7 linked regions of the Canis lupus familiaris genome follow. The main gene of each other region encodes a partner of the protein of the gene in region 3 in a complex. Links are inferred from orthologs where the notes say so. Each region holds a gene or a part of one and is shown on either strand. Other genes may lie near its edges. The genes, in order: MED12, MED20, MED13, CDK8, MED25, MED16 and MED23.

The links.
Region 1: the proteins of MED13 (region 3) and MED12 are in contact, whole or in part, in a cryo-EM structure (PDB 8TQC), measured with the Homo sapiens proteins. The link is inferred for Canis lupus familiaris from reciprocal best matches to the Homo sapiens genes MED13 and MED12. Residues at the interface, in NP_005112.2 of Homo sapiens: Ser157, Glu158, Thr336, Val337, Pro339, Gln340, Ser341, Gln343, Lys344, Trp345, Lys347, Phe348, Asp1186, Ile1189, Leu1190, Gln1193, Asp1194, Pro1332, Ile1333, Thr1335, Leu1337, Tyr1340, Asp1341, Tyr1342, Asp1343, Tyr1344, Leu1345, Val1346, Leu1347, Ser1348; in NP_005111.2 of Homo sapiens: Ala3, Phe4, Arg12, Pro13, Arg16, Leu86, Thr123, Thr127, Thr150, Pro152, Val153, Met154, Arg155, Phe242, Pro278, Leu281, Arg282, Arg356, Pro357, Phe360, Gly361, Cys364, Gln367, Thr368, Cys372, Pro407, Glu408, Phe413, Val417, Lys1526.
Region 2: MED13 (region 3) and MED20 share a complex: the UniProt entries of both Homo sapiens proteins name them as parts of the mediator complex. The link is inferred for Canis lupus familiaris from reciprocal best matches to the Homo sapiens genes MED13 and MED20.
Region 4: the proteins of MED13 (region 3) and CDK8 are in contact, whole or in part, in a cryo-EM structure (PDB 8TQC), measured with the Homo sapiens proteins. The link is inferred for Canis lupus familiaris from reciprocal best matches to the Homo sapiens genes MED13 and CDK8. Residues at the interface, in NP_005112.2 of Homo sapiens: Thr1616, Met1617, Asp1618, Arg1619, Lys1621, Val1622, Gly1623, Ile1624, Pro1625, Thr1626, Asp1627, Gly1628, Asp1629, Ser1630, Val1732, Lys1733, Thr1734, Leu1735, Thr1736, Gly1737, Phe1738; in NP_001251.1 of Homo sapiens: Leu9, Glu12, Arg13, Arg71, Lys74, His75, Pro76, Leu81, Gln82, Lys83, Val84, Tyr133, Asp137, His140, Tyr141, Met330, Gln331, Phe335, Leu336, Leu340, Pro341, Thr342, Ser343, Asp344.
Region 5: MED13 (region 3) and MED25 share a complex: the UniProt entries of both Homo sapiens proteins name them as parts of the mediator complex. The link is inferred for Canis lupus familiaris from reciprocal best matches to the Homo sapiens genes MED13 and MED25.
Region 6: MED13 (region 3) and MED16 share a complex: the UniProt entries of both Homo sapiens proteins name them as parts of the mediator complex. The link is inferred for Canis lupus familiaris from reciprocal best matches to the Homo sapiens genes MED13 and MED16.
Region 7: MED13 (region 3) and MED23 share a complex: the UniProt entries of both Homo sapiens proteins name them as parts of the mediator complex. The link is inferred for Canis lupus familiaris from reciprocal best matches to the Homo sapiens genes MED13 and MED23.

The regions. Positions count from the first base shown.
Region 1 is NC_049260.1:55,693,243-55,696,841, reverse strand, and holds part of MED12 (mediator of RNA polymerase II transcription subunit 12), read right to left. Parts: intron 3,485-3,599; coding exon 3,364-3,484; intron 2,980-3,363; coding exon 2,878-2,979; intron 2,749-2,877; coding exon 2,635-2,748; intron 2,383-2,634; coding exon 2,207-2,382; intron 2,024-2,206; coding exon 1,844-2,023; intron 783-1,843; coding exon 711-782; intron 256-710; coding exon 122-255; intron 1-121. UniProt on the Homo sapiens protein: Component of the Mediator complex, a coactivator involved in the regulated transcription of nearly all RNA polymerase II-dependent genes.
Region 2 is NC_049233.1:10,766,612-10,770,995, forward strand, and holds the start of MED20 (mediator of RNA polymerase II transcription subunit 20), read right to left. Parts: upstream 2,859-4,384; 5' UTR 2,720-2,858; coding exon 2,706-2,719; intron 1-2,705. Other genes in the region: BYSL (bystin), read left to right, coding at 3,276-3,543. UniProt on the Homo sapiens protein: Component of the Mediator complex, a coactivator involved in the regulated transcription of nearly all RNA polymerase II-dependent genes.
Region 3 is NC_049230.1:34,701,916-34,705,514, reverse strand, and holds part of MED13 (mediator of RNA polymerase II transcription subunit 13), read right to left. Parts: intron 3,196-3,599; coding exon 3,095-3,195; intron 2,361-3,094; coding exon 2,228-2,360; 3' UTR 1-2,227. UniProt on the Homo sapiens protein: Component of the Mediator complex, a coactivator involved in the regulated transcription of nearly all RNA polymerase II-dependent genes.
Region 4 is NC_049246.1:13,130,789-13,134,387, forward strand, and holds part of CDK8 (cyclin-dependent kinase 8), read right to left. Parts: intron 1,814-3,599; coding exon 1,670-1,813; intron 1-1,669.
Region 5 is NC_049222.1:107,412,674-107,416,965, reverse strand, and holds the start of MED25 (mediator of RNA polymerase II transcription subunit 25), read left to right. Parts: upstream 1-1,398; 5' UTR 1,399-1,455; coding exon 1,456-1,589; intron 1,590-1,685; coding exon 1,686-1,731; intron 1,732-1,962; coding exon 1,963-2,087; intron 2,088-4,292. UniProt on the Homo sapiens protein: Component of the Mediator complex, a coactivator involved in the regulated transcription of nearly all RNA polymerase II-dependent genes.
Region 6 is NC_049241.1:58,254,251-58,257,849, reverse strand, and holds part of MED16 (mediator of RNA polymerase II transcription subunit 16), read right to left. Parts: intron 3,577-3,599; coding exon 3,145-3,576; intron 2,656-3,144; coding exon 2,550-2,655; intron 956-2,549; coding exon 800-955; intron 670-799; coding exon 458-669; intron 1-457. UniProt on the Homo sapiens protein: Component of the Mediator complex, a coactivator involved in the regulated transcription of nearly all RNA polymerase II-dependent genes.
Region 7 is NC_049233.1:335,996-340,388, forward strand, and holds the start of MED23 (mediator of RNA polymerase II transcription subunit 23), read left to right. Parts: upstream 1-1,568; 5' UTR 1,569-1,675; coding exon of another isoform or gene 1,676-1,780; coding exon 1,781-1,828; coding exon of another isoform or gene 1,829-1,962; exon of another isoform or gene 1,963-1,965; intron 1,966-2,177; coding exon 2,178-2,209; intron 2,210-2,378; coding exon 2,379-2,466; intron 2,467-4,393. Other genes in the region: ENPP3 (ectonucleotide pyrophosphatase/phosphodiesterase family member 3), read right to left, coding at 1,676-1,962. UniProt on the Homo sapiens protein: Required for transcriptional activation subsequent to the assembly of the pre-initiation complex. Component of the Mediator complex, a coactivator involved in the regulated transcription of nearly all RNA polymerase II-dependent genes.

The sequences.
Region 1 (3,599 bases), on a different chromosome or scaffold from region 3:
TAGAACAAGCCATGCTCTCCCTGCCCAATGGACAGGCCTAGTATCTCTGTGAGACTGAAATCATTTACACTATGAGAGAACAAGTCATAAGGGGAGGGGTCTGAATGCATTTCTACCCAACCTGAGCACTGGCTTTGTTTTGCTGCTGCTGGGCATGTTGCTTGTGGTGCTTCCAGAAGATGACCCTGTCTCTGCTGACTGTTGGAAAACCTCGATTGTGGCCTTGGCGATGTTCTCTAAGAGGGAGTTCATCTCCTGGGGAGGATGAAAGGCACAGAGGTGCTCAATAGGTAACTGTGATAGGAAGGAAAACAGACGGCAGGAAAGATGGGAGATGAGGGCGGAGAAAGGCATCTGGAAGGTAATGAGAGGGAAAGACACAACTCTGCTGAGAGCCTGCCCTCCAGAGCCTCCCTATTTCTCCAATTCCCCCACTGTCTTCTCCTCACATGCCTCCTTACAGTTGTGACCAGAGAAACTGCCTCCCACCACCACCATCGCCAATCTTCCCCCACACCACCGAGCCCCAACATTCCTGACCCATTTCCCCCTACTCATCAGCCCCATGCGTTTGCCATCTTCCCACCCTCTCTTTCTCAGCTCAAGAACCTGAAGTTCCATAGGACACAGGTTCTTCTATGGTAGCCCACACCCCTGACACATGGAGCTGGAAGTGAGCATGGGACAGAGAGGGCCAGGTGCCAACTCACATTGTTAGGGGTCTGCTTGATCATGAGCTGCAGCTCCAAGGAAGACTGGCGCATGGTCCACTGGTCCAAGTTCTGTGATGGAGACGCCACCCCTAAGCTCATCATCATCCTGTCCCCCCTCTCCATTTCCAGCCACTTACCCCCCACCCTGACTAAGCCACCTCCTGATCTCTCACAACCTTGAAACACATATGCCTACAGGTCTGAAAGGAACTTCCACGTCCCCATCTTTAGGAAAGACTACACCAAAATGATCCAAAATCGTTGAAAAATCTAGCCTATTTTAAAAACGGTTCTGGAAAGATTTCCCATCTTTCCCCTGTCTCCTATTCCAGAGCTTCACATTCCTCCACATGGGTAAGTTCTGCTTAGCACTTACCCTAAATCTTTGATGTTAAAGTTGCAGGCTGTTTTAAACCAGCTGTTCAAAGTCCTTTACAGACCCAAGGGCTAATGTGAGTTAATCTCTCTTTAACATTATCTCCTCTGGGCTGAAGAGACTCATTCCTGTAGCTCTTTTAACAGCTTTATTTCTCCACCCTTCAGTTACCTGAATGCCTGAAGCAGCATGGCAAAGTGGAAGGGGCACAGGCCCACCTGGGCTCGCACCCTGACTCTAAACTAGCTGTGTGACCTTGGGCTAATTACTTAATAAACTCTTCAAGCCTTGGTTTCCTCCTTGGTCAAACTTGGCCACTCCTACCTACTTTCTGGGGGTTGGGACAGATTAAATGAGAAGATGGACATAGAGTGCTGAGCACAATACTCGGCATGAAGCTGACACTTGGTAATCAAGAGCTATGAAGTACTACTGCTGTTCGTTACTGAGCTGTGAGCAAACACCAAACAAGCAAGGCCTTAAACAAGGCTTAGCAGATGTTGTGCCGCCTCTCACTGATAAGCTACAGTCCCAGATAGCCATGCCCTCATCCAGCAGTTGGCTCTAGGGTCTGGACTGCACTGGCCTGACTTCAAAACCCACATGGGGGCTGTTGCTCTGACCACCTTTTGCCCACATCCTTGTTCAGTCTTCCTACTTGACTAACCCCCTCTTTTTCCCTCAGGGTCCCCATTGTTTCACCCAGGGCCTGGGCCCCACTGCTTCCTCTAAGACCCTCACCACCTTGGCCTACCTGCAGAATACGCTTAATGCGCTGCCGCTGGGGGTTTTCCCCGTCCTCGTTGTCCAGCAACCGATGTGGGTAGCAGATGAGCTGCATGAGGCGCTGGGCCTGGGCACTACTCAACACTGGGTCTTGCAGGTCATTGCTATCCTCACACAATGATTTAAGGCAACGCTCTCCTACCCATTCCTGAGGAAGTAGATAACCAGGGCACTGGGGCAAACAGTGAGTGGGGGTAAGGAATAAGGGGGAGATGGGCTGGGGGTTGATGAGAGACGTGATGTATAGTAGGAAGGTGGCATGATCAGGGCTGGAAACAGGACATTATTATATAAAGGCATTTGGGATGCATGGGGGGAAGGTGAGACTGACCTGTTGGCAGATGCTGCGCAGCACGTACTTGGCATAGACATCCAGACTGGCTGTCTCCACAGAGATGTTGCGGCCACCCTGCCTCCGACCGCCACTGCCACCTCCTCCCTCCTCCTCTGGAAGTTCTTCTGTTCCTCCTGTCACAGTGAAGCCTGAACCCTTCAGTTCCGCATCCCCTGTGGTTCACGGGCGGGAGATAGGGAGGGCAGAGTGAGATCTGAACACGGTGTAGAGACCCACCCCAGACCCACAGAAGCAGCAACTCCCCCAAATCCTGCCCTATGGGACAGAAATATACTTCCCTCCCTCCTCTCCTCCCCAAAGGTCAGAGAGACCACCTTCAGGAGGGAGAAAGACTTTCCTTTGTAGTTTAGCTGGCACTCCACCCCACACACACTTCTGGCACCACTCCCTTCCTACCCCCATACCAAGTACAAATACTGCCTTGAGAACAGCAAACACAGCTCCATCCACGATGCGGTTCTGGGAGGCAGCCAGCAGGTGGCGGTCACAGGAGGAACGGATTCCTACTGTAGGCTTGTCTGGAGAGGGAGCCCAAGTCATGAGAAGCAAAAGTAGATCCAGTGGGGTGCAGGCAGTGGGTGGGGCGGGGGGGGGGGGGAGCAGCCACACTTTCTACTGCTGGCTAGGCCCAGATCAGGGTCACTTACTTCCATCTGACTGGCAAGGATTGAGTTGAGGCGTCTTGAAAAGGTGGAGGAGGATGCGGCAGGTCAGCCGGGCCCCTGGCTCAGAGTCCTGCTCACTGCAGGCTGCAAAAAAAAAAAAAAAAGGAAAACAAAGCAAATTGGACAGGGCAAAAGTGGACTGTCCGTGGGTTTGTGGGTGGCAAGGGGCTAGAAGGGAAGGCGAAGTCAGGCAAAAGGAGAAATAACAAGATAATGGGGGAGGAGAGACAGAGCAGTCAGCTGTCTTGCAGTGTGATGGGGGGGGGTCCCTTAGGAGGGTCACAACAGGGAAGGATCAGGGCAGTCAACACAGCGTTAGAAAGAGGCCGCTCTGGGCCCGAGGCCCATCACACAACTGGCCTCTGGTGATAGCGGGGAGCCCCACACTCAACAGTGAGGGTGTGGCCATGGAGTGTGTAGTCAAACTTGGGATCCAGAAATTCTAAGGGTTACGGACTGGTGGTTCACCGGCATTAAGGAGTGAAGGGATGGCAGCACAGCGAATCAGATCCTCAAGGAGCAGACATTGCCGAGCGATGAGGATGGCAACAAAAGTAGCCAGAGAGTCATGAAAAGACAGGTCACTGACCTGGAGGACAAAGCAGACAAGACATCTCGACTCAGCCTGCAGAGAGGGGGCCAATTCAAAGCAGTAGGCCTCCACTCTGTGGGACTCTGTCTCTTGACTATTGCAATGACTGTGA
Region 2 (4,384 bases), on a different chromosome or scaffold from region 3:
CATTGAGCCAATCATTCACACACAGAATCACAGCTCCTCAGGGCCAGGAGTTATCTTAGAGACCATGTATCCTGAACGTCTCTCTCATTTTAAAGATGAGGAAATAAGAGGCTCACAGTTCCTAACAGCTCCACTAAGAACTAGAACACAGGTCTCAGGACACTCCTACCAACTTAGTGAACTTCCTATCACAGCAGCATTTTCCAACCAGGACACGTGTGCCAACATTCAAGCAGTTTTAGGTGGCACACAGAGTAATCCATAACACTGATGTCCTTTGCAATTCCTTCAGTTCTGCCTAAATTAGGAAAATCTGTTTGAGGTTAGTATGTTTTTACCAATTCTCTAACATTTTGAAGGTGTGTTGTCCAGTACAGTAGCCACAAACCACATGTGGCTATTTACACTTAAACTAATAAAACAAGTTAAATTAAAACTTCAACTGCTCAGCTGCACTACCCCATTTCAAAGGCTCAATAGCCACATGTGACCAGAGGCTAGTATATTGGACAGTGATGTTATGGAACATTTCCGCCAATATGGAAAATTCTATTCAACAGCCCTAGGATCAAAGAGAAAGCAAGCCTCAAGTCTGTAATCTTTAGGAGTCAGAGGCAACGATATGTACAAAAATAAAATCAAAACAATGAGATAAAAATGTTATTTCCAAGATTCCTTCTATGGTAAGTGAAACCGACCTCCCCTTAAGAGTAGTAGGTAACGGGCAGCCCGGGTGGCTCGGCAGTTTAGCACTGCCTTCAACCCGAGACCTGATCCGGACACCTGGGATCGAGTCCCGAGTCGGGCTCCCTACATGGAGCCTGCTTCTCCCTCTGTGTCTCTGCCTCTCTCTCTCTCTCTCTCTCTTTCTCTGTCTCTCATGAATAAATAAAATCTTAAAAAAAAAAAATAGTAGTAGGTAACAATCATTAAGCACCAACCACGTGCCAGGCAGTGTCCAAAAGGCCTTTAGACAAATAAACTATTTGGATCCTCACAACGGCCCTAGAAGATGACTATTATTTATCTCCTTGTAATAAGTAAGGAAACTGAAGAACAAAGAGGTTGAGTAACTTGCACAAAGTCACATAGCTTGGTGTGGTATAGCCAAGATTCAAAGCCAGGCATGCTGGTTCCATGTCTGTGTTCTTATTCACTATACTAGATTGCTTCCCTAAACAAGTAGTTGCCGGTTAAAATGCTTCTAAGAAAACTAAACAGATTCAAAAAAAAAAAAATTCATAAATACTTCAGGTGGTACACTTAACTAAACAAAAACCATACATATTACTGAATTCTCAAAGACATTACTTTATGATCAATCAACCACAGAGGGAGGGAGGAAAGGAGGGACTACTGCTGTTGCTAAAAATTGTCCCTACTCTCCATCAGAAGATGAACTCAGAAGCAATGGATAACGTGCCTTTACTGACAAACATAAGAGAATATCTAAACTGACGTTACACGGGTCCGAAATACCAGGAGTGTGATATACTTGCTAAGGGTCCCAACAGACTGAGGGCCCATTCCATCTTTCTGTCTTCTGCTGAAAGAACAGGGGCTTTCAGGTTCCAAGCCTCTATGCTGCAAGCTTTTCCTTCCAACCCTCATACACTCCCTTACACTAGAAAACTTAGAAAAGGCTTAAAATATCCATTGCAGAAAACACAGGTGCAGTAACCGACAAGCCTACAAGAACCTGAGCTATCAGAAAGACTAGCTCCAGGGATCCCTGGGTGGTGCAGCAGTTTAGCGCCTGCCTTTGGCCCAGGGTGCAATCCTGGAGACCCAGGATCGAATCCCACGTCGGGCTCCCCGCATGGAGCCTGCTTCTCCCTCTGCCTATGTCTCTCTGCCTCTCTCTGCCTCTCTCTCTCTCTCTCTCTCTGTGTGTGTGTGTGACTATCATAAATAAATTAAAATTTTTTTTTAAAAAAAGAGTGGTTCCCACAGGCTCCAGCCCTAACTAGAAACGTGCTAATACTTACCGGTACTCAAAACAAAACAATCCCTAAAATCTAGCATTTTCTCCAAGAGCATTAGGCCCATACCTTTCTCTGCCACCCCACTTATATCATGTTGAGAGATTAAAAGTCCATAGTAATTAGTTACACCAACCATACAATTAAACATAGTAGGAAACGAATTCTGAAGAGGTGACGTGCCTAAACCCCAATCTACCTCCCAACAGCTGCTGCTGCTTATTTTTTTTTTTTTTTTCCCTCTAGACCGAAAATCTTAAGACGGCCGCACCAGAACCAGACACGGGCCGGTCTAACTGCATTAAGTGGCTGTAGGGAGGGGCAGGAGAAAATCTTTAAAAAAAGACGGTTTCCTCGTTGCCTATCCTTTACCTCCTCTAGCTACGCCTGTAGATTGGGTCCTAGTTCGGGCATCCTTAATTTCCACCTCGGGCAGCCCTATGGCCTCCTGGGAAGGAGGAACACAACCACTGATGGGCTCCTGGGACAAAACCTTTCACCTGCCGCCTTTCAGGACGAAGGGAAGTGTCTCCGAGCAAACAAGCGCGGAGAATCTGCAGCCCTCGCAGCGTCTCCATCACCCACACGTTCCGAAGATATCTTATCTTCATCAGCTCATGGGGGACCGCGGTCCCTGGTCCCGGCCCTCCTCCCGGTACACTCCGGGCTCCGGGGCCCTTCCCGACCCCGAGCGCCGCCCAAAAAAGTCCCCTGCGGGCCTACCAAGTCACTCCCATGGTATCGGGCCAGGAGGATGGCAGGAACAAACAATCGGATCACAGTAGTCTCTGGCCGCCCACACTAAGTGAAGACCCCTAACGAAAGCTTCGGCCGAGGGAGGTGCTCCGGAAATGACGCAAAAGGAGAGCGTCCAGTCGACGCGCCCACGAGGAACAGGGGCAGGTCTAGGCATCTCCTCGGTGACGCCTCCAGTGACGTCACTACCCAACTCTGGCCCCGGCTTTGCAGCTAGGCAAGTCCACGTTTGGCTGGGAACAGAGGTCCTCGATCTATGAAAGTAGAAAACCACCGCTCGGACTGCCACCACTTGCAGAAGCCAGCGTTAGAAGCAGTGAGTTCATTCGGGGACCGGCTGGCTCCAGGCCCCGCTCTTACGGGGTGTGGCGGCGCTGATGGCCTTCCCGGCCTCCGGACGCCGGGAGGCGCTGTGAGCTCCGCGGGGGCCTCTTGGGAGCTGGGACTTCACGGCGCAAGTGCGCTCAAGGCTTTTTTTTTTTTTTTTCCTCGTCTGTACCCCACGTGTAAACCTTTCTGGCAGAGTTCTGGAAAAAAATGCCCAAATTCAAGCCGGCTCGCGGAGCTGCAGGCCAGGAAAAACATGCGCCGCTGGCTGAGCAAATCCTGGCTGGGGACGCGGCGCGGGCAGGGCCCCGGGAGAAGCGGCGGGGTCGTGGGACCAGAGAGGAGGACGAAGAGTATGTGGGGCCCCGGCTGACCCGACGGATTTTGCAGCAAGCGCGGCAGCAACAGGAGGAACTCGAGACCGAGCATGGGACTGGGAACAAGGCCGCAGCCCCGCGCGAGCGCACCACGCGTCTGGGTAAGTGGGGGAGGGGGGTGCCAGGAAGAGGGTGGTTAGTTTTGGAGGGAGGGGGAAGTAGATAGACGGCCAAAAGGTTCTGCCAGGGGAATCCTTTGGAATAAAAAAAGTGAAATTGAATAAGGAGTCCGCATCACACCCTTGCAAAGGTGATGAAATGGGAGACCCAGCCCTGGAATAGATTCAGGGTGGTCAGAGCTCTCTATGCCCACTTGTTGCTTTAGATGCTTGCGTCTAGGCAGTCTCTAAGTTAGACCAACAAGAAGTTAATTGGTCACACTATTGAGCACTCCTAACGTTTATCCATCTGTTCTGTACATTCTTGTAGGTTGTCTAGTCCGTACTTTGCACTGTGCTAGGTAGGAGTTTAGATGGTTTTGAGTAAAAAAGGAAGCAAGATAGCCATGACCCTGACTTCAAGATCTTACAGTCTAACCTGAGAGACAATTAAATTGACGATTCGAATAATACATTTCATGATGAAAGTATAGTTTTGGGACACCTGGGTGTCTCAGTGGTTGAGCATCTGCCTTGGGCTCTGGGCAGGATCGCGGGGTCCTGGGATGGAGTCCCGCGTCGGGATCCCAGCGGGGAGCCTGCTTCTCCCTCTGCCTATGCCTCTGCCTCTCTCTGTGTGTTTCTTGTAAATAAATAAATGAAAATCTTTTTTTTTTTTTTTAAGTATAGTTTCATCTTAAAACAAGAGCATTAGTTTTGGGGGTCAGGGTTCCTAGGTTACATGACTTTGGTGCTGAAAACTAGTGGAGAGAGAGCTCTAAGCAGAATGAACGATATTGTTTAGGTGCTATAAAGAGGGAGAGAGACTAATAAAAAGATGGTC
Region 3 (3,599 bases):
TGGTTACAATAAGCTAGTGATATTAAACAACTGAGAATATAGCTTTTATTTTTAAAAGTCACTACTGAGCTAAGTATATAAAAAAGAATACTTTTTATAGAAATTCCAAATAAGCATCTTTCCCTCAAATCTCAGACAAGTTTTTTAAAGTACAGAACAAAACATGCCAACATAATCTGTAGTGTGCTAGCATAATTTAAAAATGAATGCAGAGATGTGATCTTTAAATTTTAATGTCAAAAATGCTGACCATTGGAATTGCATTATAATTTTGAAGAAGTGATTGAAAACCTTTGTCACCAGTTGTGTGTTCTTTATAGAAAAAACAAGACTTGCTAATGTTTAATATACACAATTTGAAGAAGTTATATTGTTCATAAGAAAGTGATATTTAAGCTAAGCATATAGTATTTACAAAACAAGTTTCAGTAAAAACAAAACAAAACATACCGAATTACAGTTTTGTAAATACAACTGATTTTGTCCTTGTGGAGAATTAGTGACTGTACAAATTCGGAATTTTGCTAGACTGCTTCCAAGAAAGATAGGTAGACTTGGTGACTGTGAATTCAAGTCAGCAATATAGGTAGGAGGCTAACTTGGACTCTCTTGTGAGCAGCACTGTAGAAACATTTTAAGGGGGTAAAGCCTGCATAAAAGCATTTTTCTTGGCATGTGCAAACAAGAAGGGGGAAAGCTGTATTGAAGGAAGGGGTGAATTAAAGTCCCTAAAATTCAAGTCCCTTCTTTAGGGAGGTGAGAACCTCCTTGGCATATGCCCTGCCTTAATCTGAGCTGTGTTATAGAAAAGTACAGACTCTGGTGTTTGGGACTGCCATCTCCAAACCAAGAAAATTAAATAAATAAAAAAGGCAAAAGGAAACAGGTTAAGTTTAGAAAATGATTCTTTAACTAGTGGAATAGAGTCTGAATACCAGAATTCACTGAGAATCTATATACACCACAGTCTGATTGCACACACACACCCATACATATGCATACTCTCACACACATTCCCAATCTTTAATTTAAAAAACAACAACAAAAAAGTCAAACAATCAGAGTGACTGTTCTTAAAATAATTTGTAAAATGCCTAGAGCTGGGCTAAATTTCAACCTCATAGCAGATCCTGAAGATAATTTTCATAATTAATAATATTCCCATGCCTAGATGTGCCACTGTCAAAACTGGAAAAAAAAAAAAAAAACATTTAAGCATGTAACATTAAACACCAAAATTAGTTTAAGCATTCAGTAGCAAATGTTTTTCTTGTAAAACTAAGTTTCTTTCACTGGAAATGGCCTGAAATATTAGTCATAGCCCTAAACCATAGTACAAAATATAACTGAAGAATTCTCATTTTATTCTAAGTTAAACCACCCAACAATATCACTTGTATATTGCCATCATGTTATTCTGTAAAGGTGTGATATATAAAATGCTGTAAGACCCGGTACCTTTTCAATTTATAAACACAGTGAACTTCATTACTGTACATGTACTCTGCAACTACAGCTTAGCTGTAAATCCTCCACACACAATGGTATGGACATTATTCCCCCTCTATCCCCATTAAACTGTACATTGAGACAATACAAATTTACTGTCCCACCCACCCCCTTACAAAAAAATAATACTCTAAAAGCAACCCTACTGCAACTTTTTAATTAAGACGATTACATATATTTTAGACCAATTGCTTTAAAGCAAGAAGGCAGTATAAACCTTCTAGGAAAATTTTTATAAAAGAGGTTAAGAAATATAAGACAATTTATACATTTAAAAACTTACAATAAATAAGAGATGCAGGCATTTTTGAATACTAGATACTATAATCCAATACAAGAACATCTTGATGTTCTGAAGCCATATGTTGAAATTCATTGTTCCTCATGTTTCCTCTCCATGCTTTTAATATTCATTTAACATGACTGGGTACTATGGCTCATTACTTTTCACAAATACTGTGACTGGAAAAAAAAGGTTAATTTTGCTACGAAAATGTTATAATACGTTTTGTATGATCAGTCATCATCCTAAAGAGTTCAGTATAGTCAATGAAAAATATCAGGGTTATAGCCCCTCCCCCCAAGTCAAAACAATATTTGTTGAAGTAATAAGTATTAGACCCCATCACAGATGACTTTCACTGAGAAGATAACTCAATCTTGCAGCGAAATATCTTTTTTCCTTGTTCTTTTCTTGCACAGTTCTGTCGAATGAAGATCACAGCATATTCATGATAAAGTTATATAACTGATTCAGCACCACAAAATGAATTGGGAGACATGAGCGTCTGTCCTGGATTGCAGGGTCACAGGTTAGCCAGGAGAGTGCATTGTACTGTTCCAAAACAAACCTGAAAAGTAGAAGTCATGTATTTACTTTCACTGTAGATTATGGAAGCAGTTCCCAATGATGGCATCTAAGATTCAAAGTCACTTAAAAAAAATGGTGGAAAGTATGGAATAGAGTCCTTGGGGAGATTAAAGACTAATTTTCATAAAAAGTACTTTCAAAAGTAGATTACACATGCTAGAAAGGACTCATTCTAAATGACCTAATTCATCTAGAGATCCAAGGGTACACAACTGTAAATTACTGCCAAATGTGAGAATACAAAAGGATCAGTACATTCTTTCTTTTAAAAAAAACCAAAACGTCTTTTCTCTTTTATTTATTCATGAGAGACACAAAGAGAGAGGCAGAGATACAGGCAGAGAGAGAAGCAGGCTTCATGCAGGGAGCCTGATGTGGGACTCGATCCTGGGACTCCAGGATCATGCCCTGGGCCAAAGGCAGATGCTCAACCGCCGAGCCACCCAGGCATCCCCATTCTTTCTTTTTTTAAAAAAATTATTTATGAGAGAGAGAGAGAGAGAGAGAGAACACAAGCAGGGAGGAGGGGCAGAGGGAGAAGGAGAAGCACACCTCTTGGTGAATAGGGAGCCTGACATGGGTCTTGATCCCAGGGCGCCAGGATCATGACCTGAGCCATAGGCAGACGCTTAACCATCTGAGCCACCCAGTGCCCTAATATTATATTCTTTCAAAGATACAATGAAGAACCTTTAGTGGTAAAAAGATTTATACCTGAGGACATCTGAAGTCTGATTTGAGTCAAGTGGGTGGGAGTGTTTACTGTGAAGCAGCTCGTCAGATTGCACTGAAGGCACGTGGAGGTGCAAAGAGGCCTAAAAAAACAGGTAATCAGTCAGCCAAATGGAAAAGTTGTTGGTTTTACCTTATTTTCCCACGGTCTCGTCCTTGATGAAATACATTTTAGACCTATGTGATGAATGGGCACCACTATAAAGATGCTTCTTGTTCTTGCTTACAGAAGTAATTTTCAAGTGCATAGCTTATATTCAATCTTACTTTATTTTCTTTAGCTCTATTTTTAAGATCACATAATAATCCTAAAAGAATTTACATAAAAGTCATTTAAAGTTATCTACTTTTTCAGTGTAACATGCCTAGATGTGTCAATGTTTAAGGAAGCACTAAGCTGATAAACCTCAAGAGTCTGTCTACAGGTTACACAACTTTAGACTATGCACATCCACATAGGTCTAGCACTGAAAAATGTAACAGGAGT
Region 4 (3,599 bases), on a different chromosome or scaffold from region 3:
AAATGGCCTTTAGAGGTTTGCCTTCGACTTACTTATACAAATATGTGCTACCTCTCCCCCAAAGATATCACACTGTAAAGTCAACTGAATATATACTTTAAACTCCTCGATGGGGCTTTCTCCTTAATTATTTCCTTGCTCCAATTTCTCTATTTTGTCAATTTCTCAAGCTAGACATTTTTCAAGCTAGATTGAGCAATCTTTTACTTTTCCCTCAATTATATACTTCCTATTAAAAAAAAAGTCCCTATTTGTCCTTTATCTCCATCTCATTTATCACTTTACACCTGGAGTACTGTTATACAGGCAAACAGCTGGCTTCCCTGACTTCAGTTACCTCTCTTTAATCGATTTGTACCTACCATTACCATAGTAATCTAAAATATAACAAACCATGTCACTAGTTCTCAAGAACTTATCATGGATTCTCATTCTTCTGCACATTAAATCTAAACCCTACTGTCTGCTTTTCAAATTTCTTATAAGCTAAGCCTCCCCTAACTGTTGAACTACACATTAAGAATCATCCCTACAGAGGTCACCCCCTCTTCCATCCCCTTGTAAACCATGTTCCTTTCCCCTGGGCCTTAGAAATGGTGGACACATTCAGAAGTGGAAAGAAAAGGTCATTCTTCTCCATCTACTCAAACCATAGCTATTATTTAAACATTTCTATTTAGAGCAGTACAATATAAACTCCAAGAAGGCAAGAATCATGCCTGTTATATCAACATTATTTTATGCATAACACAGTGCCTGGCACATGATGGCAGGTCCTCAAATATTCAGTGAACAAATAAAATTAATCACAATAAAGTAGTCTTCACAGGCCCATTGACCAATTCTGCACAAAGGTAGTATCTGTGTTAACACTCCTATAAGGGAATGTGAAATTATAACTCCCAAGTATTTCTGTATTAGTCTAGAGTTATTCTGACCTGAGAATAATTCCTAATAAGAAACAATTTCTAATAAATACCTGGCTAGCCATTTTCATTATTCTAGACTTCTGGGGAGAGTTTTGGTGACTGATGAACTACCATGCTATGGCATAACAAGGGACGGGGATATAGTTGGAGAGGTCTAACGCCTATGATGAGACACCTAAATAACTTTCTCCCTGCTGCCAATCAGTACAGGCAAGGTTGCTGTTCTAACAGAACACTTAAAAGAATGTTCTTACCAGCAAGGGTTATAGGATAAAAAACTTCTATTATTCAATATAATGTGATTCTGTACAGTGCCCTAAATATAAAAAATGTTAAAAATTTGTATTCAAATCCCAAATATTGGCATTATTATATGTGTTGCCAGACAGAAATACGTACTACTGAATTTTATTTAGTTTCCTTTTGTAAGAATTAAAGGCACCTTTTAATACAGAGATCGTAAATATTTTATCATTTCAAATATTAAACAAAACAAAACAAAAAATAAAATGAAACAAAAATATACTCCTCAAATTCAGAAAACCCATAGATATCTTTATGTTAATATGTGAACTCTATAAATTTTGCTATTCCTAAGGATCTTTGATTAATGCAAGTCATAAATATAAAGAATTGAGTAAGAGTAGCTTCCATCAGCTAAAGATATACACCTTTCCAATGAAGATATCTAGGTTCAAACAACAGTGATTTAAAAACAAAAACAAAAACATAATGTGTACCTGCAGGAAATCCCATTACATTGAATATTCTGTCCAGCTGGTCATGGTGATAAGGATTACTAGTTTTGATGTCCTCTTGTCGACAGTGAAATATTGGTTCTGACGTTAGTAGTTCTGCAAATATACACCCTATAGCCCAAATATCTTTAAAACAAAAAGAAAAAAAAAAAAAAGAAAAGAAAAAAAAGGAAAGGAAAAAAGAAAAAGAAAGGAGGAAAATAAAGTGGTTCTTTCCAAAAGAAAATGCATTTTTATCTTGGTGGGGAGTGTTTTTTCTTTCTTTTCTTTTCCTAATAAGTCATATTAATTTCTAAAGCAATTATAATTAAAATATCATGGAATATTATTTGTAAATATATATTCCCACCCAACCCACCCCAATTTTTCATTCCCTATTACATCTCCATTATACCCAGTGGCTTCATTCCAAGTTCAAATCAAATTTATTAGCTAAATTTTTGGCAATTTTTAAATGCTTCAAACATACCTTATCTATGAAATACACACAAAGTTGCATATGGAGCATAGGAACCACAAACAAACAAAATTAAACAAAAAATAAAACCAAAACAGAAAACCCAAATAGCCTTTGAAATTGCGTATACTTGCCAAAAACAATCAGCACCAATTTTTTAAGGTAGAAATATTTTTCTTTAGTTTATGTACATGCTAATTTGTGAAGTCTAATAATTATCCCCTCATGCTAGCACTAATTAGCAAGGTGTTATTCCAATAGGAGAAAGACAATGCCTCACCTAATCAAACTGCATTTCTACTTGAACAGTTTTTCCTTCAATGTATTTCTTTATGATACGATAGTGTCAGATTTTGCAATTTAATAAGGACAAGAAAACAGGGAACAAAATCCTACCTTAAGACAGGTGGAAAGGGTACAAATTTACTAGACTTACTTATAAAAAGCCAGGCAAATGGATTCCTCTGTAGTGCAACAAACTGCTTTCATTCACTTTAAGATTTAAGCTAATTTTCATTCATATTAAACTTTTACTCAATAGAACTGTTATTAACAGAGGAAAGATCTACATGCCACTTTAGAATTTAAAACTGAAATTACTCAGTTTCTACTTTAACAAAGTCCTAAACCAACAAAGTTAACTTCTCTACACTAAGTACAATGGTGTGCACACAGCAGAGATTCAATGAATGTGAGTGTGTTTTGACTGATCTAACCAAAACCTGTGGTAAATACAAATAACTATAGAGGGAAAAATAAAAACCACTATTTTATTAAAGCCAATTACCCAGGTCTATTAATAACTGTCACATACATAGAAAATGAGAAAAAAATGTTAATTTATAAAATAACTCAGAATTCCTAAACCCTAAAATTGGAATATAGATCTTTAATGTAAAATTATCACATTTCTATTTCATACTAACAAGGCAGTAATCTTTTTAGTAAGATTAAACACCCTGACCACAAGCAAGTGATTTTTAAAAAGGACATTGTGTTTGCATATCAGTTTTCTCCCACATCAGAGAACCAAGTTAGCCAATACCATCATATGGAAAAGTATCAAGAGATACAAGCCAAACTATTTTGTTTTTAGTAACAGAAAAATTATTTTGTGATTATTCTTTTTACATATGTACCCCATATGATAACTTGACTTATGATAATCTTACTTAAAAGGTAAGCTAAGGAGCATCACAAAGAGAGCCTATGGGTCAGTTTGCATGTTTAAAACTCTACTCCTAGCACCCAAAAGGCTCTCAAAACTGAGCCTATGGGTCAGTTTGCATGTTTAAAACTCTACTCCTAGCACCCAAAAGACACCATAACAACACATTCTGGTTAGCTATGAAAAATTCTAAAGAAAACTATGTAAAGGCAGATGAAACGTAAGTGGTGTAGCTATCCTTAAAGCGATATTGCTTCTAAAATAAAAGGTCAGAAAATAGGAAGAAA
Region 5 (4,292 bases), on a different chromosome or scaffold from region 3:
GCTTGGCTCAGGATACCAGGGTCCTGGGATTGGGCCTTGTGTAGTCAGTCAGTCTCCCTGCTCAGTGGGGAGCCTGCTTCTCCCTCTCCTCCCTGCTCCTGCTCTCTCTTGCTATCTCTGTCACTATCTCAATCCGTCTCTCTCAAATAAAGTCTTTAAAAAGAATAAAAATAATAAAAGACTTCAGCAAAGAAAATTAAAGCAAAAAGGGACGGATAAGGTAAATGTGACAAAATGGTGATATAACTGTATGCAAGAGGAATGCACCCTTTTATCTTGAAGTACATTACCAAACGGCAGGAGGGCAAGTTATGCTGATTTACAGCCCCTTCTAGACTATGTCTGAGCCCAAACTCCCCCGACTTCATTGGCATCATTCTTTCCGATATTAATTAGCACGACAAAAGCAAAATGCTTTTTAATTGGTGAAGATAAGCAATTTTCAGGGGTTTAATTGCCATTTTAAATTGTTTTGTATGGGAGAAGAGAGAGCCTTCATACCAGTAAAAAAAAAAAAAAGTATTTCTCTTTTCCTACGTTTTTATTGATGAGTAAGTTATATTTATGTAGTAAAATTTCAGTCAATACATGTTACAAACGACTTTCCCAGTTTATCATATTTTTTTTTCAACTTGGCTTATGGAGCCTTTTGAACAAATTGATCAATATTTTACGTTTCCTGGCTTTGCTATGATGATAAACTCTTTTCCCAGTCTTCAGGATTATGCGGTGTGTTCCTTTCTTCCTTCAGCTATTTTTAAGGTTTCATTTGTTGCATTTACATTTTTAATCCACCTGGAATGTATTTATGTTCTAGGCTAGTTTCTGGCCGCTCTCCCAGAAAACAACAATCAGGTGTTGCCTAGCAACCGCCACTTGGGTTGGAATTGGGCTTCTTTGAGAGGGAAGAACAGCTGCACTCCCCTCCGAGTGGCCGGCAACCCCAAGCGTTGCCTAGTAGCGCCATTTCAGAGGATGTGATTGGACCCTTCACACGACCCTCCCCCCATCTCTCCGCGGCAGAAAAAAATTAACCAGAAACCTAATCTCGCCGATAGAAAACTAGGGCAGCGTATGCGTTGCATAGCAACCAGGTCTCCGGCCCCTCCCATTGAAACCAGAGGCGGAGCGGGCGCCTCGCTCAAAGATGGCGGCCGACTACGGCTCTCTCCATGTATGTCACTCTCCACAGTCCTGACAATGACCCAATCTTCCCCGTCAGGCCCCTGAAGGGGTTCGCTATGCTCTTAATCTTGCACGCGGCGGGTACCTACGAGGATGGAGATAGAACCAGCGCGCCCTGCGTGCCCCGCACAAACATGGCCGCGGGCGCGCCGAGCCGCGGCGCTAAGACGTCCCGCGCCGGGGGGCGCGCAGCGCAGGCGCACTTCCGCTCTTTCCACAGCGGCTGCGGCGGCCGCGGCGGTGGCGGCGGTGGCGGCTGCTGCGCGGGGCATGGTCCCCGGGTCGGAGGGCCCGGCCCGCGCCGGGGGCCTCGTGGCTGACGTGGTGTTTGTGATCGAGGGTACAGCCAACCTGGGGCCTTACTTCGAAGGGTTGCGCAAGCACTACCTGCTTCCGGCCATCGAGTGAGTGCCGTTTCCCCGACTTCCAGCCCGGCCCTCCGACTTTAGTTTTCCACAGTCTCTTGCCTGACCCCGACCTTTTACCTCCGACCCTCGCAGGTATTTTAATGGTGGTCCTCCTGCCGAGACGGACTTCGGAGGAGACGTGAGTCTTGGGACTCCTGAGTCTGTAGAAGGAGGGAGGCGGGGACCGGACTCCTGAGTCTGAGGAAGGAGGAGCCCGGGGACCGGACTCCAGGGTCCGAGGGGCGGAGGGGGCCGGGGATGGACTCCAGAGTCTGAGTGGGGAGGAGTCCAGGACCGGACTCCTGAGTCGGAGGGCGGAAGAGCTGGACGGGAGTTCCAGATGAAAAGTTCCTCCCTCCTCCTCTCCCAGTATGGGGGTACCCAGTACAGCCTCGTGGTGTTCAACACGGTGGACTGCGCTCCCGAGTCCTACGTACAGTGTCACGCTCCCACCAGCAGCGCCTATGAGTTTGTCACCTGGCTCGATGGCATTAAGTGAGCATTTTCTTGTGTTAGGGGGTGGGTTGGGGGACCCTGTGAGGGACCATGAACGGATGGCGGCTTGACTTGAGTTTCAGGAACCGTCGCTCACACTGGGTGGCTGAAAGGACTGAGAGGGATTGTTTTTGTCCATAAGTCACTTCTGTGGTGGGTTCCGTGTGCTCAGCGTTTTTGCCCTCCGATGTGGAAGTAGAAAAATCTTCTCAGTTTGGGAGGCCTGTTGAGCTCCAGCTCCGATCTCGTACTGTGTGGTTCTCCGCATTTGGTCGGCTGTTCCTCATCTCCACCGTAGTATTCCTATTTCACATGGGCCTCTTGAAGCCTGAGTGCAAGGGGGGCGTGGGGCCTAGGCCAGGATAGATCTCTCTGTGCTCTGAATGGGATTTGGAATGTTCACATTGCAGGCTCCCGCGGGTACAGATAGCCTGTGGTCATATCACAGCTAAACCATCAAACTCCCAGACCCAAGAGTCCCTGCTCCCTTTGTGCCTAATGTAGTTTATCTCTTGTCGCTTTATTTATTTTTTTTAAGATTTTATTTATTTATTTATGAGAGACACAGAGAGAGATGCAGAGACATAGGCAGAGGGAGAAGCAGGCTCCCTGCAAGGAGCCCAATGCGGGACTCGATCCTGGACCCCAGGATCATGCCCTGAGTCAAAGGCAGATGCTCAACCACTGAGCTACCCAGGCGTCCCTATCTCCTGTCTCTTTAAAGGGGGGGATTAACATTATAGTACTTGTGTTAATTATTTATTGTGTTATTTATTCTTTGTTGTGTAACACATTATCCCAAAACTTAGTTGCTCAAAACAATAAACGTTGATTATCTCATGCCATTTCTGTAAGTAAGGAATTCAGGACTGGCCTAGCTGGATAGTTCTGGCTCAGGGCCTCATGAGGTTGCAGTCATGCAAGGGACCAATTTGTTTTCAAGGTAGCTCACTCTGTGGCTGGGGGAATGTTCTCCTGACGTGGCAGCTGGCTTATTTCAGACGAAGCAACACAACAGAGAGGGCAAAGAGGAAGCTACAAGAGTTTTTATGATCGAGTTTTAGAAGCCACACAGCGTTGTCTCTGCCACATTCTGTTTGGTAGAGAAGTCAGTCCTGTTCAGTGCAGGGAGCATGAGGGGAGGTGAATCTCAAGGGTGTGAATAACAGGAGGTGGGGATTGTTGGGGGTGGGGGGTGCTAGCTACCATGACTTCATAGGCATAGGCATTCTTTGGGAATTGAATGAGTTAGTTGGCTACTACTTAAAACAGCACCTGACATGTATTAAGTGCTATGTTAGTGTTCACTGTTGTTTCATGCCTGTTTCTTGGTTTGTGAATAGATAATGGTAGTTCAAATGTCCATGCTCTCTGGAGGATCACAGGAACTAATTTTCCTATGGTGCCTTCATACTGCCTAGCCCAGGTCTGGTCTGTGGTTAGAGTTCATGAAACGGCACTGGTTCATGATGGCTCTTCTCTTCATTCGTTTGTACGGCAAGAGTTTGCTACTTAGCAAACTGAGTGCCTGCTCTGTTCCAGGCTATGTGTGTGCAGGACTAGGTGCTGCACGCCCACTGGGAAGTTGACACCCAAGTTTGACCCCTCATGGCCATTAGAACTAGTAGTCAGGACAGAGTAGGATTTCCCAACCTCAGTACTGTTGACACTTTGGGCCAAATAATTCATTATTGTGGGGGATTGTCCACATGGCAGGATGTTCAGTAGCCTCCCTGGCCTCTAGCCACCAGGTGCCAAGAGCCACCTCCAAGTTGTGACCAACAAAAACGTCTACAGATGATTGTCAGCTGTCCCCTGAGGCAGGGGGTAGGGAAGGACAAAATCCACCCCAAATGAGAAGTACCGAGATAGGTTGTTTTAAGACATGAATAATGGTAAGACGGGACTCCCTGATGCCCAAGTTCAAGTCTGATGTCTAAGTCCCTAGCGCCAAGCACAAGGTCTGGCACCAGGGCGGTCTAAGGAGAACTGGGTGGAATGAGGGAATATGTGAGTGAATGCCCAGAATGCATTTTATATATATATATATAAATTTTTTTTTTAAGATTTTACTTATTTATTTGAGAGGGAGACAGAGTGTGGCAGAGGGAGAGGGAGAAGCAGACTCCCCTCTGAGCAGAGAGCCTGAAGCCGAAACCTGGGCTCAATCCCAGGACTCTGAGATCATGACCTGAGTCAAAGGCA
Region 6 (3,599 bases), on a different chromosome or scaffold from region 3:
GAGGAGAGGCCTGTGGGCTGGCCGGCCTCATGGACACTAGGACACCATGGGGACACGCCCAGGACGGGGCAGACGGGACCCAGAGGCAGGTACGGGTCTCGAAGAAAAGCGACTCAGAGCCGAGTTGGTCCAGAGTCCGTGTGGGAGGCGGGGGCCGGGCCGCACGGGGATGAGGGGGGGAGCGTGCCCAGCTCGCCGGTCGGCAGGGCCCAGGCCAGGGTCCGGCGGCAGCAAGGACGCGCACCGCGCACCCGCAGAAGGCTCACGTGCGGCACCTGTTCAATTCTAGCAAGTGGACGTGGTGGAGAGCCCCCGTCCTCACGGCTCCTGCGTACTGAGCACCTGCTACGTGCACATGACAGGCCAGAGCTGTCCTGTGTGACCCCGGGGGGCAGAGGTGAGGAGCCTCGGGCCGCAAGCAGCAGGACCCGCCCAGGCAGGTGGCTTCTGAGCTTACCTTCCCGTGGTTGTCGATGCCGACCAGGGCCAGAGAGGTCCAGGAGAGCTGCATGGCCTTGAAGTGGACGGCGGGGCCGGCGGTCCGTGGGCGCTTGATGGCCGGCTCGTCCGCGGCGCGTGGGGCCGCTGAGCTGTAGAAGACAGCCATGCTCTGCAGCGACAGCCGGTGCACGATGTGGACGCTGCCGTCGTGAAAGGCCAGGGCCAGCCCTGCGGGCGGGATGCGTGCGGCTCAGGCGTGCGGAGGGCCGGGGGCGCCGGCAGCAGCTCGGGTGCCTGCCCAGCCCTGACGGCAGGGAGGGGCTGCCCGGGGGAGAGGGGGCGTCCCGGGCGGCCGTACCGAGGCCGGGGTAGAACTGGGTGTCGCTGGCCACCTTCAGGTCAGTGTTGGTGAGCGAGATGGGCAGCTTAGGCAGCGCCACGGCAGACACGCGGTCCAGGTCGTTGGTGGCGGACAGGATCCGCCACTTCAGAATCATGGGCTGTTTGTCGCCAACTGAAAACGGGGGGCAGACAAGAAACAGAGCAGGATGAGACCCCAGTGGGGTGCACCCCTGCCCGGGGGGCGAGGCTGCCGTGCCCCCACTGGACCCGGGGCCCCGACGAGGGCGGCACCCCCAGACCCTGCCAGCCTGGTAAGGCTGGGGCCACACGTGGATGCCTGGCACCACATGTGGTCCTCATGGCGAGGACCCCCTCCAACTGCTGGAGTGGTTTCCATGAACCCAGGCGTGGCCAGTGGCTGTGGGCAAATGTGACATGAGCAGACTCACGGTGCACACGCGCTGGGATGCGCCCGGGCAAGCCCACGGACACTTGCGTGGTGGGGGGCGACGAGGCGCCCGGCAGCTGACAGCAGGCAGGCCAGCCGCCCGGCAGTGAGGCAGCCCCTCCCAGGACAGCCTGGAGCTGCGGTTCCGAGCCAGAGTCGGGCAGGCTTGTCGCTTGGGGACAGCTGACCATCACAGCTCCCCGACCCCTCCACCTCGAGAGCTGGGCCCTGACGGCATGTCACCACTATAACCCTCTGCCAGCCCAGGGAGGGAGTCCCGGCAAGCGCTGTCCCCCAGGGGAAACTGAGGTCAGAGAGCACCGAGATGCCTCAGGCCACAGAGCGTGACTCTGTCCCACCTGGAGGCTAGAGCTTAACGGTAGCCACAGCGATGTCCAGGGAGCACGAGTGGGCCAGGCCACCCAGAGCCACTTGCACCTCCATGTGGCACCAACGCTATGTGGCCAGGCTGGCCCTGGGGCCGGGTGCCCTGTGTGCTGGGGGCGGGGGCTGCACCCCATGGCCCTGCCCACCACAGCAGTCACGCGCCACCACCAAGCTCACGGAGGAGGGGGCTCTGTGGGAGGGGAGCCGGGAACCTCTTCACGCTCATTAGTTGCCCCGCACGGCAGGGGACAGGAGCCGCGGGGCCTCGACAGCTTCCTCGGCGGTCGCCCCCTCCTGCACGGCCCACTAGGCCCATCGGCACAGAGCCGGGCTCCCACCCACGGGAGGCTTCATCCGCTCTCAGCTCTGGGGTTGGGGGCGTCCAGGGGCTTCATGAGCGGTCAGGCTGGGCCAGCACGTCCCGGGGGCCATGGGGGGGTCGGTGTCTAGAGCGGGGGGTTTCACACGGATGCGGGACAGGGGAGGGGGAGGCGAGCCCATGCATGAGCTGAAGACACGCTCAGTCGGGCCCTGACCATAAACCAGAGTTTGTGGAGGACTCTCTGGTTTTTAGGGTTGAGCACCCCCTGCAGCCAGGGGGCCGCGTGTACCCCCAGCCCTGCTGCGATGCCGGTTTGTGCCCTGCCCCCGCCGGGCTGGGCCGCACTGGCTCCTGGCCTCTGCCCCAGGACCTCTGCACTGCTGTTCTCTCAAGCAGCCACATGCTCCCCCAGGAGGGTCAGGGTGAGGCAGGCCACTCTCCTGTGGGACGGCGGGCAGCACTCGCGTCTCTGAGCCTCAGGACCACAGGCTCTCCGGGACGGGACAAGCGGCCGCAGAGCACGTACGAGGAGGGGGACCGACGTTGTGCAGCTACTCGGGACAGCTCCTGCTCTGGAAGCCCAGCGCCCCCGGGAACGGGGAGACTCACCCACGGGTGAGATCTGCTGGAACACGTTGTTCACAGGCAGCCCCTCCTTCCGCAAGGACCAACACTCCACGATGCTGCTTGTCTGGCTGGACGCACACAGGAGCACCTGGGGTGCAGGGGACGGCGGAGCTGGAATGGAGACGTCACCCGCGGATCGCAGTGGGAGCTGAGGAAACTACCAGGGCTCCATGAAGTTGGGGGCCTTACTGACACGTGGTTATGCTGGAGTCCTGGGTGACCACCAAAAATGACCCCAAAGATGTCCCTAAGTCCCGGGACCCCGTAGGCCTTGGGGCCCAGCATCTTCACCAGGTCCCCCCGAAAGGGAGGAGGGGGGGAAGCCCCAGAGATGGGCAGACCCTGCACTGCTGGTGGTGAGGACGGAGGAGGGGCTGCAGGCTGGGAAGGGGGCACCCCTGGAAGGTGGAGGGCAGGAGGGGGTCTCCCTGGGGCCTCGGGGAAGACGAGGGGTGACCGGCCCCGTCCACGCCTGGGTTTTAGCATCATGAGGCCTGCATCAGACTCCTGACCCAACTCAAGATGACAAGCGTGTGGAGCTGCTGCAGCCGGGGGAGCGCCCCCCAGTAGGGCGCACCTGCTCCGACATGTCGCGGGCCAGGAACTTGAGGTGGGTGATGGCGGGGAACTTGTCCTTGCGGTTGAGGTCCGTGGTGCAGCGCATGAAGAGCGACGGGAGGATCTCGGTGTCGATGCGGCACTTCTCGCTGACCACGCTCACGCACACCTTGTAGAACTGCACGGGGGAGGCGCTGCTGCCGTCCGCAGTGGCCACCACGATGTTGCCACCACCCGTGAAGGCGATGTCAGCCAGGGCCACACGGCCGCGCAGCCGGCACAGACTCTCCGTTGACGTTAGCACCTGCCCGCTGGGCTTGAGCAGGGACACGGTGACCAGGCCGCTGACGGTCACGGCGATCCAGCCCTCCATAGGCTTGCCGCCAAACAGCGTGAGGGATGGCGAGAATTTGACGCGGGAAAATTTCTCACCAAAGCTGGAGGCCCCTGACTGTGGGGGGAGAGGGAGCAAGG
Region 7 (4,393 bases), on a different chromosome or scaffold from region 3:
GAAGAGACATAAGCAGAGAGAGAAGCAGACTCCATACAGGGAGCTTGATGTGGGACTCCCAGGATCATGCCCAGGGCAGAAAGCAGATGCTCAACCGCTGAGCCACCCAGGCCTCCCCGTGTTTACCATTTTTATACTCCAATACTACAAATGTGTGAGAGTTCCAATTGTTATGATAATATCATATTGTTTCAATTGCTGTAGCTTATTAGCAAGTCTCAAAGTAGAATAGCTTAAGTTCTCCAATTTTTTTTCAAGCTTATTTTGGCTATTCTAAATCCTTTGTATTTCCATATAAATTTTATTTATGTATTTTTTAATAATACATTTACTTTTTATTGGTGTTCAATTTGCCAACATACAGAATAACACCCAGTGCTCATCCCATCAAGTGCTCCATATAAATTTTAGAATCAGCTTGTCTATTTGACCAAAAAATGCTGGAATTTTTATTGGGATTAAATTTAATCTATAGAGTAATCTGGGGATAATTGCTATGTAAATCATATTGAGTCTATATATATATATAGAGAGAGAGAGAGAGGAAACAGAGTGGAAGCATGGAAATCTGCCAACTGAAAACTCTTACAAGTCTACCTGACTAAAGATAGTCCAAAATAAGATAATATGTTTAGCATACAAAAAAGAATAATAGATTGTTACGCTGCTTAGATTTTAATAATTCTGGCCCTGTCATCCTTCTAGCTTGGACATCCTACAAAATTGATTCCTGCAATATGGTTCATTAAGTATACCTAATATTGTGGCTAGTGCTGAGCAAAGAGTGAACAAATATTTCATAAATGAAGTACTGTACTACTTATGCACAAAGGTGTTACATGAGGATAAAGAAGAGACCCTACATCAGCTTGAGCGAGGAGGGCAGGCATCCAGGAAAGAGTCAAACTAGTGCTTGGAAGAACACAGCGGTGGAGGGGCACACCCCACAGCGCACTTAGCCACGGCTCTGACACTGCAGATGGATCAGCCTTCCTATCTACCAAGGTTTCTCCACTTCTACCCTCACCAAAGAAGCTCTAGGTATTCAGAAATTGATAAATATTATTTTAGATGATTATAACTAAAACGGCAGACATAATTATTTTATTATTCTAATTAAAATTCAGTAATAATGCATTCATTTTTTTTTACCCCCCGACCTTTATGTTAAAAGCTTGCTATGTGTCAGGCACTGTGCAAGGCACTGGGGTTACCATACTTGAGAAGACACGGTCCCTGTCGTCAAGAAAAGTGTGGTTTCGACTCTTGGCTCCAGAAGATCAGCAGCTCTCACAGACAACAGGTTGACCTAGGTTGCAGGTGGAGCCCTTCTCCCTGGCTGCCATTCCCCGGGCTTCAAGCTTCTTTCCTTGCCAGTAGGCAGAAGCATCAGCCTGGAGCAGGAAGGAACTCCCGTTCCAGCCGGGAGGTGGCGGCCTGCAGCCGACGACGCCTCAGGGTGACTTGGGGTCAAGGCTCCACTTGGTGGCAGTCTCGTCTGGCTCGGCTGGCCGCCCTTCTCCCCCGGCGGAACCAACTAGCTGGGGGCCTGGTTTCCGCAGGGTTGCTAATCCACACGCACCCGACGCTTCCCAGCTTCCGTGCAAGCGCCGCGGTTTGCTGGACGGGGACGGGGGTCCACTCGGCCGAGCGCTTCAGAGAAAAGAAAGCTTACCCCGCCAGCTGAAGTTTCTTGCGGGCTTCCGCCCCTCGGCCGGTCAATTCCCGGAGCTTGGGCCTCACCGGGCCGCGCGCCCAGCGTCCAGGACGAGCCGGGGCGATGGTGCAGATGGAGACGCAACTGCAGAGCATTTTTGAGGATGTGGTGGTGAGTGGAGCCGCCGGGCGCCGGGGCGGCGTCTGGGGGAGGGAGGGGCACCCAGCAGCCGCCCCGGCCAGCGCCCCCCACCTCTCCTGTTGTGGCCTCTCGTACGTCTGCAGGGGTCTAGCGCGTCCCAGCATGCTGTCAGATTCAGTCTGCACTGAAATCCCCAGCACCCTTTGTGACAGGCCCGGCCGGGGGGGGGGGGGGGGGGGGGCGGGGGTATTTTGTGCGTGTGGCGGGTCAAGGTGACTTGTCCTGTGTTACACTGTAATGTCGTCTTAGGGGCGTCCCCCCCTTTTTTTATTTTTATTTTTTTTACTTTTTTACACCGCTTATTTTTCTTTTTTTACAGAAAACGGAAATTATAGAAGAGGCTTTTCCTGGGTGAGTGTATACGTATATGCATGGCAGATTTTTGTGTTTTTACTTGAGTGTCTTTGGAAGATGTGACTCAGGTTTGCCTTGGAGGCACGCGAGATCTGTAAGATTCTGGTTATGTTGAATTAATTCCCCCTCAAGAACTAGTAGCAAATCTGTGATTTTTGCTTTTTAGAATGTTCATGGACACCCCTGAAGATGAAAAGACAAAACTAATTAGCTGTCTGGGAGCCTTCAGACAGTTTTGGGGTGGTCTTTCTCAGGTGAGCACTGCATTTTTTTACTACATCCAGGTCATGATTTTTGATGCCTCCTTTTTTACACTACTTTGATGTTGCTGCTAAGGTTCTTTTGGAAAGGGAGACATTAGTGTCATCATTTGTTATATGTGTATTCTGGTTTCCATTTGTTTCATTTTGTATTCTTCCAGTGGAGAACCAGTATTAAGAAATCAAACTGATGATGGCACATTGTGAGACACCTATAAAAATCTCCCCCATGTTAGATTATATAAAACACTTCATCCTACTCTGATTTATTTGGTACATGTGGAAACAGCTCTGGTAGCAATTGTAAAAGATACAAATTTCATTCATTTATTCAACAGAAGGAACTAGCAAAACATTGATACAGAGATGCTATGATTAAAGATACCATAGTAAGGGGATCCCTGGGTGGCTCAGTGGCTTAGCATCTGCCTTCCGCCCAGGGCGTGATCCTGGACCCAGGATCAAGTTCCACATCCGGCTCCCGGAGTGGAGCCTGCTTCTCCCTTTGCCTGTGTCTCTGCCCCCGCCCCCCCCCCCCCCCCCGCCCGTGTGTTTCTCATGAATAAATAAATAAAATCTTTAAAAAATAAATAAATAAAGATACCATAGTAAAGATAACAAAGATGCCACAATAAGGATACTATAATAAAGATACACAGATCTTCTAAGAAAAATGAGGAAAGGAGCAGTAGAACTTAGTAACAAAGAACAGTCACCAGAAAATGTATCCATGAAAAAGACAAAATGTGTGATCCTTAAAGAGCTGGTGTTCCAGGAATGTATTATCTTCTGATGCTGCATTATTGGTAGGAAAATGAGAACTGTTTATATTTGACCACTGGTGGTAAGACTTACTTCCCAAACATGGGGTTACATAGGCATAAATCTTGTGGGTTTTGTTTTTTTTATATAAGATTTTGTTTATTTATTCATGAGAGACGCAGAGAGAGAGAGGGAGGCAGAGACACAGGCAGAGGGAGAAGCAGGCTCCGTGCAGGGAGCCCGTTGGAGAACTACATCCCAGAACTCTGGGATCACGCCCTGAGCCAAAGGCACATGCTCCACCACTGAGCCACCCAGGCGTCCCTTAAATCTTGTTTTAATTGTCTTCGAATAGGTAATCTATTCATATGGCTCCAAATGCAAAAAGTACCAAAAAGGGGACCCAATGAATAGTCTGCCTTCCATCTCTCTTAGCTTACACCTGCTCTTTTTCGTATCAGTAGCTGGTATTCTCAGTTTGTTGCCTTCTGGAGGTATTTTACACATATAGGATCAACTTTTATAGAACATTCACATAATGTGTTCACTGTTCATTAGCCCTTTTCCTCTTACTATTAAAATCTGAAAATAATTCCACGTCAATCCATTGAACGTTATTTCTGCCTTTCTTTTTTACAGCAACATAATCTATTATATGATTGCACCTTCCTTTAACCAGTCCCCTGGTTTTTCTTAACTACTCCAGTTTAGGTTATTTAGGTTACTTCTTAACTACTCCACTTTAAACAATACTACAATGGACAATATTGTGCACAGGACACTGAATAAATTCCTGGAAGTAGTATTGCTGGGTTAGAGGGTATGTCTACTTAAAATTTTTATAGAAATTTCCTGATAGCTTTCCATAAGAGTTATACCAATTTGTACTCCTCTAGGAATGTGTAAAAGTATCTGTTCCCTAGGGCCTCACAGTAGGTTGTTAATAAATTTTTTTGATGTTTGCTGATCTAAAATGAGAAATTCTATCTCATTATGGTTTGTTTTGTACTTCTTTGGTGTTGAACATGCTTTCAGCATATTTTAATAATTCGTTAAACAATTTATGAATTAAGGATGACCCTTGTTTTTCAGAAATTTGTATTCTAATAGAGGAGCCAGAAAAAAAATAGATCTTTCTAAATCGGCATTATACATTCCA